Linked DNA regions of Saccharomyces cerevisiae S288C. Changing the gene in region 2 together with the main gene of any one other region gives a genetic interaction. Each region holds a gene or a part of one and is shown on either strand. Other genes may lie near its edges.

What was found. A genetic interaction does not mean that the proteins touch.
Region 1: mutations in USE1 (region 2) and RDR1 together harm fitness more than expected from each alone (negative genetic interaction), as found in Saccharomyces cerevisiae (one large-scale study listed by BioGRID).
Region 3: mutations in USE1 (region 2) and YKL063C together harm fitness more than expected from each alone (negative genetic interaction), as found in Saccharomyces cerevisiae (one large-scale study listed by BioGRID).

The regions. Positions count from the first base shown.
Region 1 is NC_001147.6:1,048,412-1,055,657, forward strand, and holds RDR1 (Rdr1p), read left to right. Parts: upstream 1-2,878; coding exon 2,879-4,519; downstream 4,520-7,246. Other genes in the region: AMF1 (Amf1p), read left to right, coding at 1,100-2,647; FRE3 (ferric-chelate reductase), read left to right, coding at 7,134-7,246. UniProt on the Saccharomyces cerevisiae protein: Transcriptional repressor of multidrug resistance genes, such as PDR5. Required for growth on non-fermentable carbon sources like lactate or glycerol.
Region 2 is NC_001139.9:312,588-320,406, forward strand, and holds USE1 (SNAP receptor USE1), read left to right. Parts: upstream 1-4,754; coding exon 4,755-5,492; downstream 5,493-7,819. Other genes in the region: YGK1 (5'-deoxynucleotidase), read left to right, coding at 1-253; SEH1 (Seh1p), read left to right, coding at 647-1,696; ribosome biogenesis GTPase LSG1, read left to right, coding at 2,044-3,966. UniProt on the Saccharomyces cerevisiae protein: SNARE required for targeting and fusion of Golgi-derived retrograde transport vesicles with the ER.
Region 3 is NC_001143.9:318,288-324,500, reverse strand, and holds YKL063C (uncharacterized protein), read left to right. Parts: upstream 1-2,982; coding exon 2,983-3,486; downstream 3,487-6,213. Other genes in the region: stress-responsive transcriptional activator MSN4, read right to left, coding at 1-1,273; putative Mg(2+) transporter MNR2, read right to left, coding at 3,828-6,213.

The DNA.
Region 1 (7,246 bases), on a different chromosome or scaffold from region 2:
CTTTTTTTTTTTATGTGAGGAATTACAGGCGGAAGATACTCAAATAAAGCACTGATTTGATGTTACCGAACTTTTCCCCAGGCATAAAATTTTATTTTCATATTTCATCAATTCGATATTATTGATATCGCACCTAATGTAGTCATTTCCTTTCTCTCTTTGCTAGTAGATTTTAAAAAGGTTTCTTGCTGTATTTTTTTATACTTTTATAGACGCCGCTTTCCAAAGTTCATCTAAAATAAGTCGCTACAATGATTTGATCTTGATTCGGTGCTTCAGGAGCCTGCTTGCTTCTTTGCAGCTTCGGCAATTTGGAACCTTGTGTGCATATCCTCGTTTGTAAGCCCAGAAGCACACAGACATCGATCACATCTATAATAGGAGCATGCTATCATAAAAGATTCACAGTATTCGTATAATTACATGGCAGACTTTTTGAAAAGAATGGTATGGAACCAAGTGAGCGCCTAGAAAAAAAGCTGAAAAGCTGAAATCTTAATTGGATAAGAAACTTCAATAACATTTTTCACGCGTTTCTTTTTCAACTAGATTAGCCTTAACAAACGACAATCATCGAGTACCCACGCTCATTACGCTGAACGTGCAAATGTAACGGGGTGGAAACCTAAAACGTTGAATGAACTAGCCAGAACGATGACAATTGCGGCAAGCTTTCCATACGTGTTCTGTTGTTGCGGCTTAGAGTGGTAGGTAACCGCGCCAAGCAAAATTACCTACCACTTTAAGCCCAAAAAGGTGATGTGTAGCTATTGCGGCTGTGGCGGCTATTGCGGTTGTCGCCACGCTTGTCGCCAGGGTTGTCGCTACGAATGTTTCAGCTTTTTTTTCAATGGGCCACTCTTTTCACGTGAAGCGCTCCACGAAATGTGCGGATATTGCGGAAGCTCTCAATGATGAGCTATCGGTAGGGATTAAAATAAACGAGATTTGGCAGCAGTTTTAAATACCAAGGGAGTAGTATATCTAGCCTCCAATAACTTCATTTGTGGAAACTTACTTCTATCTCACTCTCTACCTGAAAAGAAAACAAATATTGTACATTCATCAATTGCTGGAACATAAAGAACATAAAATCAATATGTCAACTAGCTCCTCCGTAACGCAGAAAAACTTGGATACAAACGCGGAAGCCTTGAAAAAGGAGGATAAAGTATTATCAGAGTTTGATATTCAGGATGAGAGGCCTAAATCCCTTTTATGGGAGAGTGCCTTTGTCGGAGTGCTGTGCTCTGCCCAACTAATGACTCAGGCAGGACTTGGACAATCATTAGCGCCGCTTCACATCATCGGTAACAGTTTTGGAACAACGAATGCTGGACAACTTAGTTGGTTTGCTTCCGCATATTCGCTAACTGTTGGTACATTCATTTTAATTGCTGGAAGACTCGGAGATATCTTCGGACACAAGAAATTCTTTGTCCTTGGCTTCTTTTGGTACGCACTTTGGTCCTTACTTGCTGGGTTTAGCGTCTACTCTAATCAGATTTTTTTTGACTGCTGTCGTGCATTTCAAGGCATGGGTCCGGCCTTTTTGTTGCCAAATGCCATTGCGATTCTCGGACGCACATATAAGCCAGGAAGAAGAAAAAACATGGTCTTTAGTCTGTTTGGTGCTTCAGCACCTGGTGGCTTCTTCCTTGGGGCTGTTTTCTCATCCATGTTGGGTCAACTGGCGTGGTGGCCATGGGCTTACTGGATAATGGGTATTGCATGCTTTGTTTTAGCTGTAGCAGGTTACTTTGTAATCCCTCACACCCCCATGCCAAGCCGCGATGCCTCATCTTTCAAGTTGTTGGAACGAATCGATTTTGCAGGGTCAGTTACCGGCGTTGTTGGATTAATTCTCTTTAATTTCGCTTGGAACCAAGGCCCCGTTGTGGGTTGGCAAACTCCATACACATACGCTCTTTTGATAGTTGGTACCTTTTTCTTGGTTATTTTTGCATATATCGAGTCCCGAGCAGCTTTCCCTCTGCTACCATTTGCTGCTCTTTCTAGTGATACTGCTTTTGTACTTAGCTGCATAGCTGCGGGATGGGCCAGCTTTGGTATTTGGATATTCTATACATGGCAGTTCATGGAAGACTCAAGGGGCCAAACCCCCCTTCTTTCTAGTGCACAGTTTTCACCTGTAGCAATCAGTGGATTTTGTGCAGCCGTGACGACAGGTTTCCTTCTAAGCCATACACCCCCAAGCACAGTTATGCTTTTTGCGATGACAGCTTTCACAGTCGGAACTATATTGATTGCTACGGCCCCCGTTCACCAAACGTATTGGGCTCAAACGTTTGTGTCAATCATTGTTATGCCTTGGGGAATGGACATGTCCTTTCCGGCCGCTACAATAATGCTTAGTGACTCGATGCCACACGAACATCAAGGTCTTGCAGCCTCTTTGGTTAATACGGTGGTAAACTATTCGATATCGATAGGTTTGGGTATTGCAGGTACAATTGAATCTAGAGTAAATGACGGAGGTGCCAAGCCTTTGAAAGGATATCGTTGTTCGTGGTACATGGGCATCGGGTTGAGCGGACTTGGCATTTTTGTCGCAGCAACGTATGCATGGAGCACTTTTATGAAGTCTAAAAAAAGGATCTCCGAAAAGCAGCATTTTATAGAATAAGTTCATATATAGAGAAATACTTCATCGTGGTATATAACCCAAACTAATAGAAATAAATATAGTACGATCAAAGTGATAGAGAGGAGCCAGTATATCCCGTATCGTGCGATAAATATGAAAATTACAAGAGGCCATTCTCGAGTGAAAAGATACATTATTTTTTCAAGTAGAAACCTGAAAGAACTTCAGTAAGATAACTTAGCGCACACTTTCCTACTTTAAGCTCACCAAATGGCATCCCCAGGATCGACAGCATTACCACACAAGCGACAAAGAGTCCGAAAGGCTTGCGTGCCCTGTAGGGAACGTAAAAGGAAATGTAATGGCAAATCTCCATGTGAAATGTGCGTTGCCTATGGATATGTATGTCATTATATTGACGGTCGTGTCCCTTCGGCATCACCTCAAGTGCAACAAGTAGGTGAAACATCTCCTGATACGGAGAGCAGACCTTTTGTTCTTCCGGGTATACATAGAAACGAACAACCGCAGCCTATAAATACACAGAACGTTACAAGTCAAAACATTGTAGATCCAACTAAGTCTAGGTACACGATCCAGCACTCTGCAGTTGCTTTCCCCCGCTGTCTTGGTCTCGAACTCCGATCAACTAATCCTCCACGCCTACATTCCTTCGCTTGGCATTGCGGAATCAGACCGGAAGAAAATCCAAACTCACATGTCCTTCTTTCTGATTTAGTTACAAAGGAAGAGTATTACCGTATCTCAAAAGTTTATTTTTCAGTTGTTCACCCGATATTTGATGTTGTTAATCCAGAGCAACTGGCAAAGAATGTTGAAAAATACTGGGATGGCGACGTAAAAACCTTAGAGTATGGGGCTGTTATTGCAGGGGTGATAGCTTTAGGATCATTTTTTATGGGAAGTCTTGGCCATCCCCGAGAGATGGATATAGTACAATATGCCAAAGGGATCCTTGATGACCCGACTTTCAGTCGCATTCCCACGGTGGAGCAAGTCTCCGCATGGGTTTTGCGCACCATTTACCTGCGAGCCACTTCGAGGCCCCATGTAGCATGGTTAGCTAGCTGCGTAACCATCCATCTTTCTGAGGCAATTGGCCTGCATCATGAGATTGACAGAGAGGATATAGCGATATCGAACAACGTTCCACCAAAAAGAACTACTGTAGTGAGCGAACACACTAGAAGATTATTTTGGTGTGCATGGTCAATCAATACCATTCTTTCATATGACTATGGGCGCTCAAGTGTTACGCTGAATAGAATTACTTGCAAGCCAGTTAAGGAGACGGACGGTAATTTTACAGCTCATTTAGTCGCGTTAGCACACCTGATTCCCCAAGACAGCGTGAACGCAAACGCAGCGCAATTGTTGCAGGCCCTGGCGGCCGTTCATGAATCACCAAACGCACATCCGTTTTTGTCGTTGACCAAGGGTGATATATGCCTCTCTTTGTATAGAAGACTTCGTTTGCTGAATCATATTCTTGATAAAAATGTTGTTTTACAAATAATTGATATCGGCAACACTGCGCTATCAGCAGCATACGCTCTTGTAAAACTGGATCAAGCATGGTGGAATGTGTTGAGCACCTCATTCCAGTACGTCTGTGTCCTTCTTGCCATCGACACACCGGAAAGTCTTTCACATGTTGCTACTGCCATGAAAACGTTAGATAATATTACTCAAATTCTCGGTACACGTATTGCTTTTGAAGCACAAAAGACCGCAAAACTGCTTCTTGAGGATTCCATGAAAAAAAAAAGACAAGAAATTCAGCAGCTTGAGCAGGCAACTCACCAGAGATCTAATCTTGAAACTACTCACCTACTCGATATTGACTGGGATGCTTTGCTAGATCCATCAGACACGTTAAACTTTATGTAAAAGAGTATTATAGATTATGTGTATCGAGAAGCAAATTGATTTATAATTAGAGGGAATGGAATTGATGTTTAATACCTGCTTACTATATTTTATCTTTGATAATTGCGCAGAAAGTAATATATCCGGTATTTGAAAATAGGAAATTTAAAGAAATCCCGTCACGCCTGGAATGAGGGGTGAAACCTTGACTGATATTATATTCTTTTCTTGGACATAGTGTCTGAACCAAATGCAAATTGCACTGCATTGCACCAAATTGATGGTTCAAGTTCGATCTATAAAAATACGAGAGAAGGTCTGACTGTTTATGTCAATACTCAAGAGGCTCAGGAACAGTGTTAAAGCTTGGAAGTTCAATTCATTAAAGAAAAGTTGATAACGTCAGGTGGAAAACCGAAAGATAAAAATAAAAGCAAGTCAAGATTTGAAGTATTGCTGAGCGAAATTTTGTTTGAGTGGTCCGGAAATTTTTATACACTTTATTAGTATTTGGTTTAGTGTAGGTGGGAAAGCTTAGAACGTATGTAGAAAAACATCCCTGAAGAGTTCTCTAGATCTTATCATCAGCAATAAAAGAATGCCGTTGTGACACTTAAATAGTCATATCACATGCGGATACACTTCTAATACACTAGTCTTCTTTCACTGCCCTTTATTTATAAGACTCATGTCCAGTCTATTTTTTTTTTAAAAAAAAAGACTTTCAAGCTTTTTACAACTTGATATTCTAATATGAATAATGAATAATGAATAATTTAATTAATTGTTTTGTTTAAATTTTGTTCGGTCTCGGCTATATTTGGAAGAAAAATAGCCAGTACATACTTTCTACCACTTTCGCTCAATTATCAATAAAAACATTTAATCGAAAGTCATTCAAACTGAAAACTTCAAAAGTCATTTTTTTATTGCTTCCCATTCCAATCACAATTATGCTTTGAGCCAATTTCAGTAAAACTTTGAAAATACGTAGGCGCATCGCATCGCCTAACTTAATTCGCGGTTTAACTAGCTTCCTCCACCAGTTCCATAAAAAAATGATGGATCAGTGCAAAAAAATTTTATCATAAATCTGATGAAGTATACTAAGCTGAATAAGCTGTAGGCCTTATTTGCTTTTTTCATACCCTTGGTTGGTACGACAGTAAAGATTGGCAGGTTCGGAGATACAACTTTTTTTGAGGCTTAGAATGCTCGGCCTGCATAAAATGGCGTTAAAGTTGCGCACAGGCCCCGGAAACCCTGCCAAGGAATATTACATAAGTTGCAACATCTTTTTCCAATACATGGTTAGAGAGTTTTTAATCGTTATACTTTTTTCTCATTTGATTAAAAAATATAAAATGAATTGCGAAATTCTTCTAGAAATGCGTTACTATTTTACGGTTGGCATTGCAAGATTATTATAACTACGAAGCAGTGTTGGAAAATATCATCTGGGAAGAAATTCCTATTTCTTGGGAAGAATTACATGTGCATAAAAAGATAAAACCCTCGATCACCCAAAATTGACTTTGCGACTAAAAAGTGATTTTTTCAGCATATTGCATTTCAAAAAGTCGTTGTTTAGCACAACTCATAGAAAATAAATACTAGTATGATTCGGGAATTATTTATCAGTTAATTATAGGAGTACAGCCTTTTATAGAGTTGGCGAAGATAGCCAAAAGATAAAAGCTTTGACGTACGTCTGTAAAAAGTGCCTTTTCTGATCGAATCCAGTTGCTCAGATATCCGGGAAGTTGTTAGCATTCATTGCTTTTCTGCACTATATCAGCATATGAATGCTTTCAGTATTTTAATTTTACCCTTTCACGAAGTACGCCAGAAAATGATTGGAAACGTACTCAAAAACAAAGCAGGAAATAAGCGACGAAAATTTTTCATTTCAATTAAGAGGTACTGAGCGGCTACTTAACTTTTTCTGCAGTAAGTAATGACAGAGTATCACTACAGAATTCTGTGCCTCCGGTCTGGGAATGCAGCTAGGGAGACAGCACCCTTTTGCTAATAATGCGCCGGAAATGAAACATTTAGATAAAATCTAAAGTTACGAAAACAATACACTTTGAGGGAAAGATATCAGAGAATTAAAAGCTGCAAAGAACTATGACAAATTAACCGCTTTGTTGACCCTAGATCATAGTTTACACTGCGAACGGGATAGTTGCAACCTCTTTTGTAAAATGCACCCATATCTCATTTTGCCTTTATTTCGGGTGTATAATAGGAGAAAAATTTGAATGGTAAAGAATAAGTCCCTTGCGAGTGTCAAGAGAAGCACAATTATTATTACTATTGGTGACGTGATTGAACTCGAGAATTTTCCTGGACCGATATTTGAGTTTTACGTGGAATGTGGGTGTACCTCATCTCAAAGAATTGGCGAAAAGCCAAACTTCTTAATTCTAACAAAAGCTACTGATTCGTTGGCGATGAAAGACTCTTTTTTTTGGCTGTCAGAAGCTTTCATCTTTGACATAGATGTACAGAATTTGATCAATTGTTTATATTAAAAGATTCGTCGCAACTTATATAAGGTGGCAAGAGAATGATTAACTTCAATTGCTGATGAACGTTCTCAATTCAAAAATTATAAGACACAAGGAAAACAATGTATTGGGTCCTCCTTTGTGGTTCTATTTTGTTATGCTGCTTGTCAGGAGCAAGCGCCTCCCCTGCTAAGACAAAAATGTACGGCAAGTTACCACTGGTTTTGACAGATGC
Region 2 (7,819 bases):
CGCATCTAGGGAAATTCTTGATGACTGGTTAGCATACGAAAAGCAGACCTGTTTGGAAGGAAGATATGTCAAAGATATTGATAAGTATGAAATGTTGGTTCAATGTTTTGAGTACGAACAAAAGTATAATGGCAAGAAGGATTTGAAACAATTTTTGGGAGCCATCAATGATATAAAAACTGATGAAGTTAAAAAATGGACACAATCTTTACTGGAAGATCGACAAGCCTTTTTCGACAGTTTGAAGGAGTAATAATGTGGCCTTTTGAAAGAAAAGTTAGTGCTTTTTTTTCTTTTCTCAAACCTTCACCTGGTGGTGCGTATCATTTATAATAACATCTTGATGCTTTTCAACGAGATAGTGCCCATTTTATTTTGCATGTATTATACTTCCAGCACCCGGTGTGCATTATATGTAACTTTAGAAATAATCTTTTGTATATTATTCGCGATTGAATGTGCGTGCTGCATTATCAACCAAGTTTTAATATATCTGTTTCTCTTATTTATTGTTAGTTAAGTCTTCGGCAAAACGATGGAAAAAATCATGAACTGAATAGAGACAAGTAAACCAAATTATAAACAAGGTTTCCCTTCTGAAGAGATACTAAGGAAGAAGAAGAACGACCCAATAATATTTCTGAATATGCAACCATTTGATAGTGGGCATGATGATTTAGTTCATGATGTCGTTTATGACTTTTACGGAAGACATGTGGCAACATGCTCTTCTGATCAACATATTAAAGTTTTTAAATTAGACAAGGACACGAGTAATTGGGAACTCAGTGACTCATGGAGAGCTCACGACAGTAGTATCGTGGCCATTGATTGGGCCAGTCCAGAATATGGGCGCATCATTGCTTCAGCCTCTTACGATAAGACGGTAAAATTATGGGAAGAAGATCCCGACCAAGAAGAATGCTCTGGCCGTCGTTGGAACAAGCTGTGTACCCTGAATGATTCCAAAGGATCACTTTATAGTGTAAAATTTGCGCCAGCGCATTTGGGCTTAAAATTAGCTTGTTTGGGTAACGATGGAATCCTCAGACTTTATGATGCCTTAGAACCTTCTGACCTAAGGTCATGGACACTGACTTCTGAGATGAAAGTGCTATCTATACCACCAGCAAATCATTTACAGTCTGATTTTTGTCTCTCTTGGTGTCCTTCGAGATTTTCTCCTGAAAAGCTCGCAGTCTCTGCATTGGAACAAGCGATTATATACCAAAGGGGTAAAGACGGTAAACTTCACGTTGCAGCAAAACTTCCCGGTCATAAAAGTTTAATAAGAAGTATCAGCTGGGCTCCTTCCATTGGTAGATGGTATCAACTCATTGCAACAGGTTGCAAAGATGGTAGAATTAGAATTTTCAAAATCACAGAAAAACTAAGTCCCCTGGCCTCAGAGGAGTCTTTAACTAACTCAAATATGTTTGATAATAGTGCTGATGTTGACATGGATGCACAGGGCAGATCAGACTCAAATACCGAAGAGAAAGCTGAGCTACAATCAAACTTGCAAGTTGAACTTCTAAGCGAGCATGATGACCATAATGGCGAAGTTTGGTCCGTGTCTTGGAATTTAACGGGTACAATCTTAAGCAGTGCTGGGGATGATGGGAAGGTACGTTTATGGAAAGCCACTTATTCAAATGAATTTAAGTGTATGTCAGTAATTACTGCCCAACAATAAATAAGAATATATGTATACATAACATTATATATTGGTACTTTATACGTGTGCATTATTCTGTATAATACGAGGCAACAGATGAATCAAGAAAGATGATGCTTTTAAAAAGCTCTTACAAATATAATGATATTACATCAAATGATATTATTATTCTTGATATTGGGTATTCTTTCGAATTATATCAAGCTTCCCTTCCCTCGCCTTTTCGCCTGGAAATTTTTCAATGCCGAGATTAAAAAATTTGTCAATGAAAATGCATTCTACTACTTAATAAAGAGGTGATGAGCTTATAAGCCAACTTCTTTTAAACACAAAACTAAATCTGATATTGAGGACCCCCACCAACTATGCCACCAAAAGAAGCTCCCAAGAAATGGAAGGCGCCAAAAGGGCCAAAACCTACCCACCGTAAAAATAAAAATAAGCTTGAATTAGGCAGAGCTATTAAATATGCACGTCAAAAAGAAAATGCCATCGAGTATTTACCTGATGGTGAAATGAGGTTCACTACCGATAAGCATGAGGCCAACTGGGTTAAATTAAGATCTGTAACTCAAGAATCAGCTTTAGATGAATTCTTGAGTACAGCTGCACTGGCAGACAAAGATTTCACGGCCGATAGACATTCAAATGTTAAAATTATTAGAATGGATAGCGGTAATGATTCTGCGACATCTCAAGGGTTTTCTATGACTAATGAGCAGCGTGGAAATCTTAATGCGAAGCAAAGAGCGCTTGCTAAGGATTTGATTGTTCCAAGGAGGCCTGAATGGAACGAGGGCATGTCCAAGTTTCAGCTTGATAGGCAAGAAAAGGAAGCGTTTTTAGAATGGAGAAGAAAATTGGCACATTTACAAGAAAGCAATGAAGACTTGTTGTTAACACCGTTTGAAAGAAATATCGAAGTTTGGAAACAGTTATGGAGAGTTGTTGAAAGATCAGATTTAGTTGTTCAAATTGTAGATGCGAGGAATCCGTTGCTGTTTAGATCTGTCGATTTAGAAAGATATGTAAAAGAGTCAGATGACAGAAAAGCAAACTTACTGCTAGTTAATAAAGCAGATTTATTGACCAAAAAGCAACGTATCGCTTGGGCAAAGTACTTTATCTCCAAGAATATTTCGTTCACGTTTTACTCTGCATTGAGAGCTAATCAATTATTGGAGAAACAAAAGGAAATGGGGGAAGATTATAGAGAACAAGATTTCGAGGAAGCTGATAAAGAAGGGTTCGATGCTGATGAAAAAGTTATGGAAAAAGTTAAAATTCTGTCCATTGACCAACTGGAAGAATTGTTTTTATCAAAAGCTCCAAACGAGCCTTTATTGCCACCTCTGCCCGGTCAACCTCCACTGATTAATATTGGTTTGGTTGGTTATCCAAATGTAGGTAAATCCTCCACTATTAATTCGCTCGTGGGTGCCAAGAAAGTTTCTGTTTCATCCACGCCTGGTAAAACAAAACACTTCCAAACTATTAAGTTATCTGATTCTGTCATGCTTTGTGACTGTCCCGGTCTTGTCTTCCCAAACTTTGCATATAACAAGGGTGAGCTCGTGTGTAATGGTGTTTTACCTATTGATCAATTACGTGATTATATTGGTCCAGCAGGTTTAGTAGCAGAAAGAATACCAAAGTATTACATTGAAGCGATTTATGGTATCCATATTCAAACCAAATCAAGGGATGAAGGTGGGAATGGGGATATACCAACTGCTCAAGAATTGTTAGTCGCATACGCCAGAGCTCGTGGTTATATGACTCAAGGTTACGGTTCTGCTGATGAACCAAGAGCAAGTCGTTATATATTGAAAGATTACGTCAATGGGAAATTACTGTATGTCAACCCTCCGCCCCATCTAGAGGATGATACACCTTACACTAGAGAAGAGTGTGAAGAATTTAACAAAGATTTATATGTGTTCGACAGATTACCGGACACCAGAAAGGAGCAAGTGCAAAATGCTGCTAAGGCTAAAGGCATTGATATCGTGGATTTAGCTCGTGATTTGAATCAGCTAACGTTTTCAGCTCACACTGGTGGTGACACACAAAAAGAAGCCAAATCTGTTACGCACGGTGGTAAACAAGCTGCATTGTACAATGCCGCTGAGGACTTGGATAGAGACTTCTTCAAGATGAACAACGTCGAAGGTAGATTAAGTACACCATTCCACAAAGTTCAAAATAGTTCAGCTGGTAAGAGACATAACAAAAAAAACAAAAGTAAAAATGCGAAAAGCAAAGTTTTTAGCATTGAAAATAATTAGCGGTAACTAACATATATCTTCTCAAAAAAACTGTGTACTATTATCTTTTCATCTCGCCAATTAATGACAGCGTTATTTGAGAATAGACCTAAGATAATAAAACTATGTTCGTTACCCGGACAAATTTTCTTGGAAGAATTTTTGAGTCCTAGAGATATTATAAAACGGCCCTCTATTAATTTGCTCTTTCTTTCCTCAGTTTAATTCTTCTTTCGAATAAAAAATAAAAATATCATGGCTCTTCAACACATTTCAACATGTTCAAGTAATTTGTGTTAGTGGATGACCATTTAGGGGCTGCTGGCCTGGTTACCGGGAGTTTTTCTTGGATCCAAGCTAGCTTTTCCGTCTGATTATCCTTAAGCTTCACAAATTACAATTTTTCCCACGCATTAAGAAATAAGCTCAAGATGCCTAAAATAAGTTCTATCCCGCCTTTTTTCGCTAACAATGACTGAGTATTCCCACAGTCTATAGTTTGATAGTAGATGGGCGGAAATTTTTCTCATATATTTACTTTTTATAGGAGAGTATATTTACGTACGTATAGTGATTGCATGTAGTTGCTCCCTATATCTTGTCATATGAGCGTGATACTGACCGATACCTGTTACAGATGTCGGTCTGGATTTGTTCGTTTTTCTTCCCTAAAGTAGGTCAGTATATATAAAATATGGCCGGAGGAAAGCTTCACCACTTTATCACCACTAAATTTATAAAGTAGAATACAATTTCAACATACACAGAGAATAAAAAAAGGTTGACAGGACACATAATAGCAAGGCAAGATGGCTGAAACTTCCAACGACCCCTTTCTGTCCTACGTTTTGAGTAGCAAACAATTAACTAATTTGAATCGTCTACGAAGGAAAGCAGTTACAAAACAACTGGGATCAAGTGACGACAATAAGGTCTCAGAGGAGTTTTTGAGGTATCAACATACTTATCAAAGAGAAGCATTTGAATATCTGCAAACAAAACATGACGCCCACAAAATAATGGAGTCACAGTACGAACAGTACCAAAGCAGTTCAAAAACAAGAAGATATAGTATCGATTTAGATTCTGTAGATGCAGTTGACACGGAATCGCAAACAGAATACCCAAATGAGGAGTTTATTGATAGAAACGAAGATAGCGAAGCTGTTATGGAGTTGAGAAAGAGATTGTTGGGGAAGGGACAGAATAAGGGTTTAGGATATGAAACTACGAAATCAGTCGATAGGCAAATTGAGGACCAGGACACGTTGCAACAGGATTTGATTCAGGATATGAGCAAACTTGTGGGCAGTTTGAAGCAAGGAGCTGTGGCATTTCAATCAGCACTTGATGAAGATAAGCAAGTTCTTGGAGCTGCAGAGATAGGTATTCAAGTTGCTTCTCAAGGTTTAATGGATGTTAGCGGTAAATTAAGGAAATATGACAAGAGTAAATTGAGTTACTTGTTTTATATTACTGTTTTCATTTTTATGATTCTCGGACTGGTGTTTACATTTATCATAATTCAATTATTCCCGGCCCTATAATGTAATTATAACGATGGAATGATGTTTTTTGGAAGAAAAATTCAACTGTTTATTAATATTTACGGCATTTTTTCATGTAGTTGAGATTATTCCTATTGAAAAAAGCAAATTGTGAGAAAAAAGTATACAATAAAATTTGTATAGGCTGCAGAATTCTCCTTTCCGTATAGTTGCCTACTTCCCGTCTCAAACTGAATCCTGCTATCTGATTGCTTTCTGTGTTGGTGCGGTGAATCTTTTTATACATATAATATTTGAAAAAGAATAAACATTTGAGAAAACAAAAGTAGCTAAACAAAACGACAAAATCATAACATTTCCTGATCTGACTGAAAGCTAATAGAACAGCAGTGTTCGATGAGGGTAAAATAAGGAGGGGTCTTCGGTTACGTTATACTAGTAAGTTGATTTTGATTTTAAGTCATATTATTGAACGCATTATGATGATACTCATAATGGACTAAATTTTTCTCATGTATAAGGTCCATAGTAGCCAAGTGCATTCCATTACAATGTTATTGATATTATCTGTGCTCTCAAATTCGGCTGAAGAAAACTACTACAAACACAACACATCAAATAATGTAACACAGCCTTGCTTATTGCCGGTGTAAGGGTCGACTATCTTCGATCTACTCATATTCATATTATCAATTTATTATCATATATGGTATAAGAAAATGACATGAACATTGAGAAACAACCAATAGATTAATTGGAAGCTGAAATGCAAGGATTAATAACTTGATAAATGGAAGTTAAAAGATAGTATTAATGATGACTAAATATGGATTCTGTTATCCTTGTATAAGAGAAGTATAAAACAAACACCAATTGGTTTATTATTCTCTTTTCTTCAATTATAATCAGTACAATAATGGCTCCAGCAGCTGTCACATATTTTAATGATGATTTGCGCATATATAACAGAGATAGGTTTAAATAATTTAATAATTGTTGGGATTTCACAACTATTGAAGGCTATAATATTATGTATAAAGAATATACCAGGAAGTCAACTCCCAGACCTTGAAATCCTCAAAATGAAGACGATAGTTTTACATAATAATATTACTTTTTCTTCTTTCCTTCTATATTTCTCCTTCACATTCATATTACGCTGACAATCTTTGCATTTCAGCTTCCACCAAGCCTGATCACCGTTTACCAATATTTGTGTCATTTTCTTATACCTCAGGTAATAATAAACTAGCAACCTGAATAATATCAAATAGACGATATGTTAAAGTTTCATTCTAACAATTACCACCCATTCCAAAATATCTATTGTTAGAGAGGCGTTAATAGAACAACACAACACAAAAATACTGAAGGTCAAAGTTTGTTGTATTACGGGCTCGAGTAATACCGGAGTGTCTTGACAATCCTAATATAAACGGTCTTAGGGAAGTAACCAGTTGTCAAAACAGTTTATCAGATTAATTCACGGAATGTTACTTATCTTATATATTATATAAAATATGAATCATATTAAGTGGTGGAAGCGCGGAATCTCGGATCTAAACTAATTGTTCAGGCATTTATACTTTTGGTAGTTCAGCTAGGGAAGGACGGGTTTTATCTCATGTTGTTCGTTTTGTTATAAGGTTGTTTCATATGTGTTTTATGAACGTTTAGGATGACGTATTGTCATACTGACATATCTCATTTTGAGATACAACAAAGTTCATAAAGAAATTAGCCATCTTAGTATAGTGGTTAGTACACATCGTTGTGGCCGATGAAACCCTGGTTCGATTCTAGGAGATGGCATTTTTTCCGAAATTTCGCCTTCTCGCACAACTTTCCAAACCCGACCAAGAGAAGGAAGAAATCATTTTTTTTGTTGCGAGTTGTCATAGAACGAGGTCGAGAAACAGAAGAGGAATTGAAAATGAATTGTAAAAGCGTTCGTTCTATGCCTCTAATAAGAGAGTACGTCTTGCTTGATGTGAACCCAAATGCCCACAAAACAGTACGATTTGCAGTTATGTAAATTTGTGGTTTGTCTCCTGGCAAAAAGAATGCATTCGTACTGCACATAATTGAAATAAGGATGTAGTTCAACTTCTATGAATGCTCGGCGATACGATATGTAGAGGGGACAAAAATATGTAGGTATCCTATGGTAAATAAATCGGTCTGTTTTAAAACCTGTTTTAGTGCAGCTTCTTTCCACGAAAGAAATAGTGTAAGTTAGAGGTACTTCTCTTTTACCTAAAGGAGGTGTAGTTATGATAAAAAGCGAAGCTAACTAAGACAGCTAAGCTCTTTATGTTGATAGTTAAAAGTTAACAGGTTGTATTAATGAAGAATGAATATGGATC
Region 3 (6,213 bases), on a different chromosome or scaffold from region 2:
AGCTATTGTAATTTAGCGCACCAAAAGCATCGTCTTCATTTTCTTCTGAAAGAAATGATGCGGAATCAGACAGAGGATTTGCCATCACCGAATCATTTGCAAAAGATTCAATATCATGAATTAAGGGCAAAGAGGCACGCTGTTGCCTTGTGGTGCTACTGCTATGGGAGATGCGATTTAAAGAAGAGGAAATGCTTTTTGGCTTTGTTATACCAGAGTCCTTAGAAAAATCCATACTATAACCGCTCAGAGCTTGAGAAACGTCATGATCTAATAATTTGAAGTTTGGATTAGAGTTGTTTATAGTGGTAGTAGGTGAAATGGTTGATCCACGCCTCTCAGTAGTGGCAGTACCTTCAGGGATAATTTGTTGAGTGGGTTTACTGTTGCTACTATTTTTGTGATTGAGATTCCAAAACTCTATCGAATGAGAGATCGAATTTCTAGAATCCGTCATAGAAGGAAAGGAAGAGGTAACCACCTCGCTGTATCTTCTTGCGTCGCGACCAGCGTCCGGCATGAACTTCAATGCTTCTTCTGAAGATACAAAATCCTCTAAGATTGATTGCATGCTATTAGTATTATCATTATTGGTATCGTCTAGATTATAATCATTGTCGTTCAATCCTGTTGTACTGTTGGCGTTGTTTGGTAACCTAGCATCTAGAAACAAATTGGAATATATTGAAGGTTCTGCCTCAAGAAGGTTTGTCTTGGGAGAAGTTGCATGTTGGTGTGGCGATAATTCTATATTTTCATTAAAATGACTGTCATTGATAGGATTCATTGGAGAAAATACCTTTTCTAGTTGCTCCAAGTTTTTCAATTCGTCATTTAAAGCTTGAGGGGTGGCTACTGAACTATATATCTTATCACCACCATTTTTCTTACCATTAGCATTACTGCTTTGTTTCTCACCGTCATTCACGAACTGTGCGTTATTGGAATTTTTCCACTTCCAGTTGGTAGCTAAACTGGCGGTATCCTTTAAATTCATTAAACTATTATTAGCAGTCGTATTAGTTGTCGCTGTTAAAATTGGAGTATTAGTGGCGTCCGTTCTATGCGGAGAATCCATTGAGAATTGACCAAAGGTATATTCCGGCGAAGATATGCTATTGTTCGCAGAATTGTCATTAGAAGAAGTAGCAGAAACGTTGGTTGTGCTCAATACCGGGTCCATCAATCCGTTTGGCTCGTTCATTATAGACGAATCTTCTTGTTTCTTGTTTGCGTGACGAACGAAACTACTATTAGGTCCGAAGACTAGCATTATATTGTTTTTAATAAGAAGAAAAGAAAAAAAAGCCGAACTGATAAAGGCGTTAAATATTCAAAAAGGAAATTTCACGTTTTAATTCTTTTCTCTATAAATGTTAATTCTCTGGAAATAAAACGGAAAGAGACGGAAAAATTCTTAAGCCTGTTGACCAGTTGCGAAAAACACATCACAGAACTGCAGTTGCTTGTTATATACAAATTTAGACAGAAATAAGATGCATAAAAATAAAATTTAAGTACCTACAGGTATGCTCATGCATCTAAGGGAAACATGTGTAGCATCAAGAGGGTAGAAAGGCCCGCAAGCGGAATCCCAGAAATAGCCATAATACTTTTGATAGATAAGAGACCTTTGTTAAACGCTCTTAAAAGGGTGGGTTTGGTTTATCCGGAGAATAGCAATGCGCAAACCTTATTGCTCAAGAGTCCTAGTTCTAGCTCGGGTTTTCAGGTTCTAAAAATGACCAGTACGCCGCCAGCAGTGAAACCTCGTGGGAGAAAGCCGGTTCCTGCAGCCTGACATTTGCGCTGGGTTTTCACGGCACCATGCCTAGCAGCCCTGGCCACTGTCATCGCTACCAACCGCTTCGTACAACAGTACCCACCAGCAGCCGGCTGCTGGCCCCACATAGAAATTGTTACGGATCCGTCCCCGCGCTCGTACTTTACAGCCAACCCCACCTTTTTCCCTTTTTCTTGGTGTGCGGTTGCCGTTCCTTCGAGGAACGGATCTTCGGGCTTTTTTTGCCGCGCTCAAAATGCCCCGGAGCGGCACTTTCTATGTATGTTTTTTTCTTTCATTTTATTATTTCCTAGTGCTGGCAAAATGATTGCTTGGAGCTCACAATACCTGTGAGGAGACCCCTTCCCCTTTTCTTTTCCCCTCCCCTGATTTCGGAAAATCAAAAAAATCGTTACGCTTGACAATTATTCCTTTTTGAGCGATTATTTTTCAAATTTCACAACTTCTTTGCCTTCAGAGGTCCTGGGTGCCTTACATCGTAGCATTTATGTTGCATCTTTTATCGAAAACATAGCTCTTTACGCGCTAAGGAAAGAAGTTGACAGCAGCTGGGTACACTAGGCAAGGTAGACGTTTTTATCAACTGTCTGTAGATAGATTCACTGCATCCTTATACTGCAAGAGATGAAAATTTTGAAAACCCTTCATCTTTTGCGGCTTTAAGCTTTCAATGAAATGTATGTTAAACAGTGCTTATCTCCTGTTTTTACGCGCAATAACGCCAGCGGCCTTGTTTTCCTCTCTTCTCCGTTTAGCGTTAGCCATTCGTTCAAATGAACGCTAAAAACATAAGGGCTACCCTTAAAAACTCCGCTATGAAGGCAAAAAATATAAACAGGGTAAGCACCTATATGTAATTTGGCACGACGTGAGCAATTTCATGTTGTGCAGCGGGATAGCAAGCTGTGCAGCGGGATAGCAAGCTGTGCAGTATTCTAACAAAAAAAAACACGAAGAAAAAGAAAAGAATAGCGAATTTCTCAGTGACAGTCTTCCAATCTTTCAGAAAGGCAAAAAAAGTGATTTCGTCATTAACATTAAGAGTTAGCACTTTACCAGAGTGCTATTGCCTTCCAACATACGTTCCTCCCCTCCAAAGTAGTAGTACTATATAGATAAAGCTAGGGTATTCTGAGCAAATATAAATCAAACTAAAGTGATTCATAATTATAGAAAATATGCAGGGCGATATCAGAAGGAAAAAAGATCTTTTACCTCGTTATAAAACAGGAAGCAAATATAATTCCAGAAGAAGGGGCGGTTATCTGACTACCCCTATGAAAAAGATTATAGTATACATTATACTGTTATGTGGCGTTTATTTCGTTATAAAAGTTGCCTATTCTGATCTGAATAAAGAAACTGAGATCAAGCTAGAAAGCCATTCTTCTGATGTTTCTGCAAGTGCAAGCGATCATACCAATATTGCAGCCGGCGGTGCAGCTGATGCGACTAACAATAAGCAACCACAACAAGCTAAAGTACCTAAAGAAAAGTTCAATAATGAAGTCGCAAAGCAACAAGAAGTAAAGAATTTGGAGAACGATTTGAAACCACAAATTGATTCAGAAAAGCAAAAACAAATAAACAAGGACAAAAAAGAACAAAAACAGCAACTCCAGAAAGAGAAACAAGATCTCGCCAAGGAAAATTTGGCTAACAATGAAATCCTTGATAATTAACCAATTCAAAACTTCCAACAGTTTGGTGATGAAAATAATAAATGTTTTACGTTAACCTTATTGATTAACCTCACCTCCCTTATTCTTTGTATAGTATAAGTGCATACTAACATACTGTGTACGTACATAAAGATATGCAGAACGTTCACAAACATGTAGAAACCAGACACGAAAAAAAAAAAAAAAAAAAACATAAATAGATTAAAGATATTTATCACCACAAGTATACGATACGGCGCTGATAATTTACAATTCTATCCTTCGGGAAAGACAACAATAATTTAGGCTGATAATTAAAATCGAAGGAAAAGCAAGCGCTAATGCGCGAAAAAACACTTAAATTAAAACCCGAATCTTCTCTTAGTATACATATATGCAGAACATGCTAGCATACACATAAAAAGCACAATGCCTATAAACCATGTCAACGAATCCCTGTATTGTCCGGGCACGATAACATTCATACCCCACAGACCCGTAATCACATTCATTGGCAGAACAATAGTACCCAGTATGGTAATTTTTCCCAAAACGTCGTTCATGTCATTATTAACCTTCGTCATATCAATGTTGATTTGTGCCAGATAATTTGAATGCGATCTACTTAACAGTTTTTCATAATGGTTTAGCGATGAGACCATGGTTACAATATGATCTTGAATATCACCCAAATACATTGCGATTTCAGATTGTGGCGAAGCTTCCCATTGCTCATTATACCTTTTGGCAAATCCTTTTATCACATCAGCCTTGGATCCTAGCAATCTTAGTATACTCATCACTCTTTTACGGCATTCACCAATCCGCCTCAACATATCTCCTTTTCTCTTCCAACCTATCAAATTTGCATTGAATGACGCTTCAGAAGTGCTCATACTTCTTGAACTCACACTAGATTTTGCACTAGAGTAGGACGTCTTTTTAGAATAGACATCGAACGGAAATGCATCCTCATCGCTAGCGCCCGAATCGGAATCACTATCGCTAGAATCGCTATCACTAGAATCATCTGACTGATGCATCTTCAAAATGGCGTCCTCAATCTCATAAACTTCATCTTCGATAAGTTCTATCATAGGGGCAAATGCGTCTGTAATGTCATCGATTAAGGCATACGCAATCCAATCAGAGGTAACATTAAGGTAATCCTTTAGTAGTCTTGCTCTTCTTCGAACATTAATAGGATGTGGTGTGGGAGCAAAATGAAACGTCAATACACCAGTTCTGAAAACAATAATGTAAACATTCAATGGCTCTAATTCTCCCTCACGTGGTTTGTGCCTGTCTCCTGATTTTCTTTTGAATTTTTCGTTCTCTTCCATCTTTTTCTTTTCGCTTTTGACACGGCGTTTATAGCTTGATGATGATGTATTGGTTGTTCTATTTGCAGATGACCGACGGCGTGCACGTAAAATCGATGGAAGCCATTTGCTCCTACTTGCATTGCTTGTACTGTTATTGTTATTTGCATTTGATTCATTTGACATAGTAGCACCATAGGCTTGTGATTTACGACGTGAAATACTTTCATGATCCAAGGTAGCAGATTCTTGCTTTTCTTTTCTCCTCCGACGAACATGCTTTTCTGCTACAATATCGAAACTTCTAAAACAAATCAGGTAATAATCTCTAAATAGTTCCACTTTCTCACGAACTTCTCCCAAAAAAATATCTTCTGTAGTTAAAGGGTGAATTCCGAAAGCTTTACTTAATATTTTCATCTCCTCTTCAGTAGGATTGCTGACATCCAACCAGAATGGAGGAACATCCTCTATATTTGCCACAGACATAGACGATAAAGTGGAAGGGTTTTTAGCTGTCAATCCCTGGAGTTGAGATACAGTTTCTGCTTTTATACCAGGTGTTGGAGAATTTGGATGTGTCTTGATATGACCAGCGCTATTATCTTGGGAGTATATAGAAGCGACAAATAAATCTTGAAATTTTTGACCAGGTTGCAGTAAACCAGATATTGTCGGAGAATGAACAGTAGAGTCCAAATCCACCCTAAAATAAGTGAACCTGAAATGTTCTGGGTTATTAGAAATAATATGCGGAGGATATTGAATATTTCTGCCGACTAGTAAGTTATCTTGTAATCCGCTTTGAATTCTTGATTTTGAGTCCTTGGTTGAATTGGACCCAAGGACCATTGGACGTTGAATCAAATGCCATGGCGCAATTCTTTTTGGCCTTAAACGGCCGTTCTTCAAATTCTCTGTTTCGTTTACCCTTCTGTTTCCCAATTCAGGGACATCAATATTAGTTACGATTGGCTTTGAAAAAAGAATTCCATCTTCATTTGATGTTCCATCTTCCTCATCTTCATCGTATTGGAAGTGGAAAGCTTCAGCATCTTGAATAGCTTGACTTCTTAGTCTCTCTGTTTCTTCCTTGGAAAATTCTTCCAAAACAGTACAATCAGGCCAAGCTTTTGGCACTTCGCTACCCTCATCATCAAGCACTAAACAAACGTCATCCAAAGAAGAGTTATTTGAAGAAAGACTAGAAGATGGCCTTGAGTTATACTCATCCTCTTCATCGTTTGAATCACTGGATGTGGATTTGGAATTTTTGTTGCTACTATCATCAGAACCCCTCTTTTTCTTTCTTCTCTTGCTGTTATCATTAACCCCAGTACTTGCATTGTTGTTAACATGGTTCATTAACGCATCAACATCAATCACGACATCATTATTCGCGTTCGATTGTCTCCTATCGGTGGGG